2 linked regions of the Macaca mulatta genome follow. The protein of the gene in region 1 purifies or fractionates together with the protein of each later gene. This does not show direct contact. Links are inferred from orthologs where the notes say so. Each region holds a gene or a part of one and is shown on either strand. Other genes may lie near its edges.

What was found.
Region 2: the proteins of PPT1 (region 1) and CANX purify together in Homo sapiens (affinity purification with mass spectrometry; 3 studies listed by BioGRID and IntAct, with this or other methods). This does not show direct contact. The link is inferred for Macaca mulatta from reciprocal best matches to the Homo sapiens genes PPT1 and CANX.

The regions. Positions count from the first base shown.
Region 1 is NC_133406.1:200,690,178-200,695,602, reverse strand, and holds the start of PPT1 (palmitoyl-protein thioesterase 1 precursor), read right to left. Parts: upstream 3,405-5,425; 5' UTR 3,399-3,404; coding exon 3,275-3,398; intron 1-3,274. UniProt on the Homo sapiens protein: Has thioesterase activity against fatty acid thioesters with 14 -18 carbons, including palmitoyl-CoA, S-palmitoyl-N-acetylcysteamine, and palmitoylated proteins. In contrast to PPT2, PPT1 can hydrolyze palmitoylated proteins and palmitoylcysteine.
Region 2 is NC_133411.1:188,715,018-188,719,954, reverse strand, and holds part of CANX (calnexin), read right to left. Parts: coding exon 4,932-4,937; intron 4,084-4,931; coding exon 3,957-4,083; intron 2,653-3,956; coding exon 2,573-2,652; intron 409-2,572; coding exon 355-408; 3' UTR 1-354. UniProt on the Homo sapiens protein: Calcium-binding protein that interacts with newly synthesized monoglucosylated glycoproteins in the endoplasmic reticulum. It may act in assisting protein assembly and/or in the retention within the ER of unassembled protein subunits.

The sequences.
Region 1 (5,425 bases):
TTTCTCTGAAAACAACGTTCTCCACACTGAGCTGTAATTGTAGGTTACTTAACTGCCTCTGCCTCCCCTGCAACTGACTGTGAGCTCTGGGAAAACACAAAGCTCCTAACTTGTGTCCTCTTTTGACCCCACAGTAGTAGCCCCAGGGCCTGGTGCAGAACCTTGAAAGTGTTTGTATTTGCTCACTCTAATTACTCTGAATATTTTTCTGTAACCCATCCCAATGAAGCTCTCACTGTCACCACTCTCCCAAAACTGCTTTTGTCAAGATTAGTCATCTTTATATTGCTAAATCCAATAATCAGTTGTCAGCCTTTATCTTCCTTGACCCATTAACATTTGATACAGTTACTCAGGACCTATCAACATTTGATGCAGTTGATCATGCCCTTCCTCCTGAAACACTTTCTTCACTTGGCGTCAAGGACACTGAGCTTTCCTGACCCCTCCACTTCACTGGTTGTTCGGATATAGTCTCCTTTGCTAGTTTCTCCTCATTTCCTCCACCTCCAAAGGGAATGGAGTACCTCAGGGCTCAGTCCTCTGTGTACACTCATTTCCTAGGTGATCTCACCAGGCCTTTAACTACTAGCTGTATGCCGAAGACTCCCTACTTAAATCTCCAGCCGGTATCTCTGTCCTAGACTCCACGCTCCATGCCTCTACAACACTTCCTGGATGTCTCATGAGGATTTCGAGTTTAGTAAGCCCAAAAGCAGACTCTTGATCTTTCCCCCACCCTAAGTCAGCTTGTCCTACAGGCTTCCCCATCTTGGTAAAATGAAAACTTCACCCTTCCAATTGTCCAGGCCAAAACTTGTGGAGTCATCCTTGGCTCCTTTCTTTCTCTCTTATTCCAAGTCTGATCTGTTAGCGATCCACCTTCAAAATCTATCCAAACTTTGACCACTTCTCAACACCTCTATTGTTACTCTACAGTTTCAAGCCATCATCATCTCTTGTTTAAATTATTGCAATAGTTTCTAACCTGTCTCCCTGTGACTATCCATGAACCCCTACAATCTATTCTCAATACAGCAACTAAAGTGATTCTTTAAAAATGTGTCAGATCGGCTGGGCGCGGTGGCTCAAGCCTGTAATCCCAGCACTTTGGGAGGCCGAGACGGGTGGATCACGAGGTTAGGAGATCGAGACCATCCTGGCTAACATGGTGAAACCCCGTCTCTACTAAAAATACAAAAAAAAAAGCCGGGCGAGGTGGCGGGCGCCTGTAGTCCCAGCTGCTCAGGAGGCTGAGGCAGGAGAATTGCGCAAACCCGGGAGGCGGAGCTTGCAGTGAGCGGAGATCTGGCCACTGCACTCCAGCCTGGGCGACAGAGCGAGACTCCGTCTCAAAAAAAAAAAAAAGAAAAAAAAAAAATGTGTCAGATCATGTCACTCATGTGGTCACAAAGTTCCCCATGACACTCTAGCCAAAGTCCCTGCATTAGTCTTACTAGGCCCAATAACTTCTGTAACTGCCCCTCCCTTCCAAACTAAACTCCTAACTTCTTCCCCTTGCTCACTCATTTCCAGCCACACTGACCTGAATGCTGTCTGTTGAATATACCAGACATACTTCTGCATCAGGGCTTTCCCATTTACTGTTCCTTCTACCAGATAGCCAAATGGCAACTGTCCTCATCCACCTGTTTTGCATTCAGATGTCACTTTTTTAATGAATTCTTTCCCAACTTTGCTTTATTAAAAGTGCAAGCGCCCACCTCATCTTTATCCTACACCCTACTATACTTTTCTCCATTGCACTTATCACCATTTGATATGTTATGTTTTACTTATTAATTTCTTTATAATCTGCTCCTCCTACTGGAGAGTAGGTTCCAAAAGAACAAAGACTTTAGCCTGTTTAGTTCCCTACTGTATCCTCAGCACCTAGTAGGTGCTCAATAACTGTGTTAAATTAATATAGGTTGAGCATCCTAATCTGAAAATGCGAAATCCAAAATCTGAAAGTTTTTCAGAGCAGACATAATGCCACAATTGGAAATTTCCACGCCTGACCTCATGTGACAGGTTGCACAAAATTATTTATTTATTTATTTATTTATTTTTTATTTTTTTTTTTTTTTTGAGACGGAGTCTCGCTCTGTAGCCCAGGCTGGAGTGCAGTGGCCGGATCTCAGCTCACTGCAAGCTCCGCCTCCCGGGTTCACGCCATTCTCCGGCCTCAGCCTCCCGAGTAGCTGGGACTACAGGCGCCCGCCCCCTCGCCCGGCTAGTTTTTTGTATTTCTTAGTAGAGACGGGGTTTCACCGTGTTAGCCAGGATGGTCTCGATCTCCTGACCTCGTGATCCACCCGTCTCGGCCTCCCAAAGTGCTGGGATTACAGGCTTGAGCCACCGCGCCCAGCCAACATTATTTAAAATATTGCATAAAATTCACTTCCAGCAGGCCGGGCGCGGTGGCTCAAGCCTGTAATCCCAGCACTTTGGGAGGCCGAGACGGGGGGATCACAAGGTCAGGAGATCGAGACCATCCTGCCTAACACAGTGAAACCCCATCTCTACTAAAAAAAAAATACAAAAAACTAGCCGGGCGAGGTGGCGGGCGCCTGTAGTCCCAGCTACTCGGGAGGCTGAGGCAGGAGAATGGCATAAACCCGGGAGGCGGAGCTTGCAGTGAGCTGAGATCCGGCCACTGCACTCCAGCCTGGGCGACAGAGCGAGACTCTGTCTCAGGAAAAAAAAAAAAAAAAAAAAACATTAACTTCCAGGTATGTGTATAAGGTGTATACGAAAAATAAATGAATTTCCTTGGGTCCAACCCCCAAGATATCTTGTTGTATATATGCAAACATTTTTTTTAAAATCCGAAATACTTCTCAGTCCCAAGCATTTCAGATAAGGGTTACTCAACTTGTAAATGAACTGTAGGTGCCTAACAAAGCTCTGTTCAATGTGTGAAGGAATAAATAAAAGGGTAGATGCGCCAGTCATGTAGCCAGCCGCAGCTCACCTAGCCTGATCAAGTGCGAGATGCCGCATCCTGACGCCACTACTGTAAGGATTAATCAAGGACAGCATGTAAAACCTCAACGCCGTGCGCGGCTCTCCTTGAGCTCATCAAAGGACGGCTCCTTCCCCTTCTCTCTTTCCAATGCAGATCCTTCAAATCCTTCAAATCCTAAAATGTCGAGGCAGCCGCGAGCTGTGGGGCCAGGTCCTCGCCCTCTACACCCGCATTTTGCAGATGCGAACCGAGGCTAGGAGGAGAGAGAATCGCCAAACCCTTTTCAGCTTCTCACTCACTCACCCATCCCATGCCAGATCACCAACGGCAGCGGCGCCGGCGGGTCCAGATGATGCAACGCCCGGGCAGCGCAGGTCCATGGCAGGAGGGCGACAGCCAAGAGCCACAGGCAGCTGGGCGACGCCATCTTCACTGTGTCACATGACCGCGGGCTCGCGCCTCCCGGAGCCGCGCTCCGCCCGCCTGGGCGTGACGCCGCCGGCTGCAGACTGCAACCTGCGCATCCCGAACGGATGCGCAGCCTGATGGGCGTTGGCCCTACCCTGGAGCTTTCAGCGCGACAGGTCCCCCGCCAGGCCCCGCTGGCCGAGTGGGGCTCCGCGCTGTTGTAGACCGCCCTCTGCGGTGAATCAAAACAATTGCTAACATTTATTCAGCGCTGATCAGATACTATCAGGCACTATTCTTACAAACTTTAACTGATTTGCTCCTCATAACAACGCTGTATGCACTCCTCCCCCTCTGACAGGTGAGGACACTGAGGCACTGAGAACTGGCATTGAGTAAGGTGCCCAAGGGCACAGAGATAGCAAATTGGTGGGTCCAAAGTCGTTGCTCTTCACCACTGCCCTGTACTGCCTTTGGAAGAAACATGCACAAAGGAAGGAAGAAAGGGAGGAGGGACAATTTCCAGCCAGTACCAATCATGGCAGGGTGTGGGGTTTGTTCTGGATATTGAAGGAGAGGTAGGATTTCAACAAGCAAAGATGAAATTCAGAAGGACTGAGATGAGCTAAGGTAGAGAGGAGAAAGACAACTGTGTTTTCTAGAAATGTCGGGACTTCAAGACGGACGAAAGCATATGTTGGATGCATAAGAGTGAGGGGAAAACCCATGGCCACTAACTGGCCTAATCTCAGCTGGATTATTTCAAGGGTCTCTCATCAATCATTTCCTTTTCCATTCTCTCCTCTTTAATCCATTTTATGCTCTATTGCCAGATTCATCCCTCAGTCCACCTTCATAATCTCAGTTCTCTGCTCAAGTTTTTTCAACAAAACATCAAAAAAATAGTGTAAAGAATTTGTAAAGAAATTAGAGTGTATCCACTATACAATGGAATAATATGAGGCCAGTTTTATAAAAAGTGAGTATAGGGCCAGGAGCGGTGGCTCACACCTATAATCCCAGCACTTTGGGAGGCCGAGGTGGGCAGATCACCTGAGGTCGGGAGTTCAAGACCAGCCTGACCAATATGGAGAAATCCCATCTCTACTAAAAATACCAAATTAGCCAGGCGTGGTGGTGCATGCCTGTAATCCCAGCTACTCAGGAGGCTGAGGCAGGAGAATTGCTTGAACCTGGGAGGCAGACGTTGCGGTGAGCTGAGATCATGCCATTGTACTCCAGCCTGGGCAACAAGAGCGAAACTCTGTCTCAAAATAAATAAATAAATAAATAAATAAATAAATAAATAAATACATAAATACATAAAAAGTGAATACAGCCCAGGCAACATAGCAAGACCCCATCTCCACCCAAAAAAAAAAAAAATTTTTTTTTTTTAATTAGCCAGGGGTAGTGGTATGTGCCTGTAATCCTAGCTACTAGGGAAGCCGAGGTGGGAGGATCACTTGAGCCCAGGAGTTCAAGGTTGCATTGAGCTATGATCTTGCCATTGCACTACCCTCTGGGCAACAGGGGGTTGTTGTTTCTTTTTTGTCTCTCTCAAAAAAGAAAAATGAGGTACATTTGCATAAAATGATATGAAAAATGTCTTTAGTATGTTGTAAAAGAAAAGTTGATTACAAACCCACGGGATTTATTGCTCCAGTTTAAAGAAACCTTTAAAGAAATTATAAATAGTTCGGCCGGGCGCGGTGGCTCAAGCCTGTAATCCCAGCACTTTGGGAGGCCGAGACGGGCGGATCACGAGGTCAGGAGATCGAGACCATCCTGGCGAACACGGTGAAACCCCGTCTCTACTAAAAAAAATACAAAAAACTAGCCGGGCGAGGTGGCGGCGCCTGTAGTCCCAGCTACTCGGGAGGCTGAGGCAGGAGAATGGCGGGAACCCGGGAGGCAGAGCTTGTGGTGAGCTGAGATCCGGCCACTGCACTCCAGCCTGGGCAACAGAGTGAGACTCCGTCTCAAAAAAAAAAAAAAAAAAAAAAAAAAAGAAATTATAAATAGTTCATTAAAGGCAGGAAACTT
Region 2 (4,937 bases), on another chromosome or scaffold:
ATACATTAAATTAAGCCAAGATCTTAAAGACTGGCAAAGTTCTATCATTCTATTTTAAAAAACAAAGATGTTAAAAAAAAAAAAAAAAAAGAAGTTAGTTTGCCTCATGTTATATTTCACAACCATTATGTTAAATGTTTTCTTTTCTACAGAAACAGGGTCCTTTATATCACAACTGCAAGTATTTACTGCTAGATGTTTAAAGTTACACAGACTAGTGTTCAACTGGAGCCTGCTGATGGTGATGTCTTGAAGTTTTCTGAATTTCAATCTAAGGTGTGCCAGGTCCTCTCCTAGGACCACTCTTGCAGGGGGTAGGGAGAGGAAATCACAGATCAAGCTCTTAAGATTGTTTCACTCTCTTCGTGGCTTTCTGTTTCTTGGTGATCTGTTCAAAATTTCATCCTCCTATTGATTGAAAAGAAAAGAAATTCACTATAATTAGCACATTTAAAACATAATAAAAGTTCACCATATTTTCAAGATCAGCCAGGCTGAGGGTAACTTATTTGAGGAAAAAATGAGAAAAATGATTAGAAGAAAATGCACCAAGAAGAATGGTTGTCTCAGAGGTGGTGGAATTATTCCTACTTCAGTTTAGTCTTCATTGTTTTCTATAAGCATACACTTTTCTCAATCTAACCCATAAACATATTCTTAAAAAGGGATCAGACACTGTGGTTTCTTTATCTTGCTTAAGTGATTTCTTAATCTTGCTTAATCCCAAACAATCTACTGGCCTATGGCACACTCGCCCCAGTCTGAGGGTAAGAAACCAAGGATTCATGAAGATGGAAGACTATCCAAGTAGACTGACTCCAAGGCTGCTGCTCTTTGTACTCTATCACAAGTTGCTAAGATTGTAAATTACCCTATGAAAATATTCCTTTTTTTTTTAAAATGCGCCAGCAACTTTTTAACATGTGAGGGAGTTTGGGGGAAACATGGTCTCTACTTTTAAGAACTGCATTCTAGGGCTGGGCGCGGTGGCTCAAGCCTGTAATCCCAGCACTTTGGGAGGCCGAGACGGGCGGATCACGAGGTCGGGAGATCGAGACCATCCTGGTTAACACGGTGAAACCCCGTCTCTACTAAAAAATACAAAAAACTAGCCGGGCGAGGTGGTGGGCGCCTGTAGTCCCAGCTACTGGGGAGGCTGAGGCAGGAGAATGGCGTAAACCCGGGAAGCGGAGCTTGCAGTGAGCTGAGATCCGGCCACTGCACTCCAACCTGGGTGACAGAGCGAGACTCCGTCTCAAAAAAAAAAAAAAAAGAACTGCATTCTAGTTAAGACAGAACATATCCATTGAAAATATACAAAAGATACAGATAGCAATGACCTTTATTAATAGGAAGGCAGAGTTGTAGCTGGAAGTAAAACCTGAGAAGAGCTTTCCAGGAGAGACCAGACTGAGACACAGAGGTGCTGGGGGAAGGACTTTAGTGGGCAATGGTACAATGACTGTTCCCTTTCTCTCATACTCTATATATCTATCCAATCCACCACAAAACCAAGATCCAGAACCCCAACTAGTTCTCATACCCTCTGTTCCTCTCCTGTCACCCTTTTTGGGGCCACCATATCTTTCCTAGATGATTACAGGAACCTCCTAACTGGTCTCCCTGATTCTCACTGGTATATAGGAAACACAGCAGATAGTCATCATCCTGTGACAACTGTGTCCAGTAGCCTGTGATGGTTGCCTGCTTCACTAGGAGGGAAAGCCAAGTCCACACAACAGCCTGTCTAACCCGGAGCCTTCTCCACCCTTCTCTTCTCCACTCTGTCTGTCCACTCACCATACTGGCTTTGTAGACCACTTTAGGCTCTCAATACTGGCTGTTCTCTCTGCCTGGAATGCTCTTCCCACTTACATCCCCATGGAAAAGTTCTCTATCTCTTTCAAGTCTTTGGTCCAGTGTCATCTTTCGAGTAAGGTTTTTAACATGGTGACCCGCCCTACCTCTAGCACTTTTAATACTTTTTCCTGTTTTAATTTTTCATAGTTTCTCACTTCCTAATATGCTGTGTTGTTTACTTCCTTACAATGTTTACTGCTCACTGCCTGTTTCCCCCAAGTAGAATATCAGCTCCCTAAAGGCAGGGTATCTTTGTCTGTCTTATTCACTGACAATGCCTGCAACAAAATGGGCACTCAACACACATCAGGTAAATGAATGAATGGAACCAATCTATGGATAACGGGGACAAAAAGTTTAGAACACAGTGATTTGTATAAGAAATACTTTTCAGGGCACTGTGAGGAGAGGCAAATAGACTGTTAATGACCCGAAGTTTCCTTCTTAGCAAGCATTTTATTATCCCCCTACAACCTTCTGCTTATTCCAGAAAATCATTTTCAGCTAAAAAAATACTTTGGAGAGGCAGATGTAGCTTCAGATTATCAAACAAAACACTGACCGGTATCACAAAGAATTCCACTTCAACAAAATTGGTTTTAACAGAATTTTTACTGCCATAAGCCACTGTAAACTACCCTATTAAAATATTCCCTTTAAATAAATGTACCTTAAACTTGGAAAAACAGAATGTGTGACCCCTTTCCTTTACCTCTGCTTTAGGTTTTCTGTCTTCCTCCTCTTGACTGACAGTGCCACCATCTTCTTCAGCATCACTTTTCTGTTTCTCTTCTGAGACAAAAGTTAAACAACTGAGCAAAACCTGACTATTTTTGGTGATTACACATTAGCATTAGAACAAATCTCTAGATCTACAACACTTTTTTTTTTCTTGAGACGGAGTTTCGCTCTGTCAACCCAGGCTGGAGTGCAGTGGCGCGATCTCAGCTCACTGCAACCTCTGCCTCCAGGTTCAAGCGGTTCTCCTGCCTCAGCCTCCCAAGGAGCTGGGGCTACAGGCACCCGCCACCACGCCCGGCTAAATTTTTGTATTTTTAGAAGAGACGGGGTTTTACCGTGTTAGCCAGGATGGTTTCGATCTCCTGACCTCATGATCCACTCGCCTCAGCCTCCCAAAGTGCTGGAATTACAGGTGTGAACCACCGTGCCTGGTCAATAATTTTTTTTTTAAGAGACAGGATCTCGCTGGGTGTGGTGGCTCACGCCTGTAATCCCAACACTTTGGGAGGCCCAGGTGGGAGAATCGCTTGAATCCGGGAGGCAAAGGCTGCAGTGAACCAAGATCACACCACTGCACTCCAGCCTAGGCAACAGGGCCAGATCACATCAAATAAATAAATAAATAATAAATCAGCTGGGCATGTGGTCCCAGCTACTTGGGGACGGGGGAGGCTGAGGTAGGAGGATCACTTGAGCCTATAAGTTCGAGGCTGTGGTGAACTGTGATTGTGCCATTGCATTCCAACCTGAGTGACAGAGTGGGACCATGTCTTAAAAAATAAAAACAGAGGCTGGGCGCAGTGGCTCACGTCTGTAATCCTGGCACTTTGGGAGGCCGAGGTGGGTGGATCATGAGGTCAGGAGATCGAGACCATCCTGGATAATGCGGCGAAACCCTGTCTTTACTAAAAATACAAAAAAGTTAGCCAGGCATAGTGGCGGGCGCCTATAGTCCCAGCTACTCGGGAGGCTGAGGCAGGAGAATGGTGTCAACCCAGGAGGCGGAGCGTGCAGTGAGCCGAGATCGCACCACTGCACTCCAGCCTGGGCAACAGAGCGAGACTTCATCTGAAAATAAATAAATACATACATACATACATACAAAATAAACATAAAAAAGAGAGAGAGAGGACCTCACTCTGTTGCTCAGCTGGAGTACAGTGGCACTATCCTGGCTGACTACAGCCTTAAACTCCTGGGCTCAAGCGATTTTCCTGCTGCAACCTCCCAAAGTGCTAGGATTACAGGCTTGAGCCACCATGCCTGGCTAAAAACAATCTTTAACTTGACTGTAAAGGTTTAACGACATCGTAGGGTCTTGGCTTAAAGCAGATTTTCTGGACTCTATTTCTTACCAAGTTTCTCTTCTCCTTCCTCCTCCTCATCTCCCTTGTCCTTTTCCTCTTCCTTCTCTTCTTCCTCTTCCTTCACATCCGGCTGAGGTGCATCAGTTTTCTTATACTCCATAGCACTGGTCTGTTTCTGAAATGTTCCCCAAAGTGCAATTTTGTTTACATGTTCAGGTATTATGTTATATAATTCCTGAATGCCTACAGGCAAAGTTCTGTTCCAGGCTGTATACAGGGATAGATATATAAAAACGAATAAGATGTAATTCCTACCCTGAAGAGCATGTGTGCACATGCGTGTTTCAAGGTAGAATAAAAACAAAAGGGCCAGACAGGAAAATACGGGTCAAAAAAGGTGACTGCGGCACAGATACAAAGAATAGTGTCAGAGGATAAGGCTGGAAAAGGAACTTGGGATCCAGTTACAAAGTGCTATGAATGCCAGATGAAGCATAATCCTCATTTAGTAGAAGTAGAGGGCCAAAATAAGACTTCCTTTTTTTATGATAGCACATGCAAAAAAGGCTAGACAAGAAAAACTAACAATAAGGCTGTGGTACCCCAACATACTGTTTTCAGAGTGGGGAAGGTGAAGGCAAAATGGATAATGAGGAATCAAAGACTGAATTTCAAATAATAGAAATAGGTATGCCAGCAGGAAAAGCTGATTATTGGCCAAGTAACTAGTTTTATATCGAACTTTATTGTTTTTTTTTAGAAAGCTGCTGCCGAACATTATGGAGAGTAATAGATTAGGATAAATAATAAAAGCAACCAAGGGGCTATAAATCCTGTTCCCATCTGGGCAGAATAAATGGCCACTGAGGAACAGTAAGTAAGGTTTCTGAAGTCATCACCAAACACGGCTCAGTCATTACTGAGCCACTACAAAGAAAACCTTAGGCAACATTTCTTAGTTATTTTTAATAATCACCAGAGTGATGTCTCTAAAAGTGATTCTAAAAAAACCAAACTTCCTACCTTTCC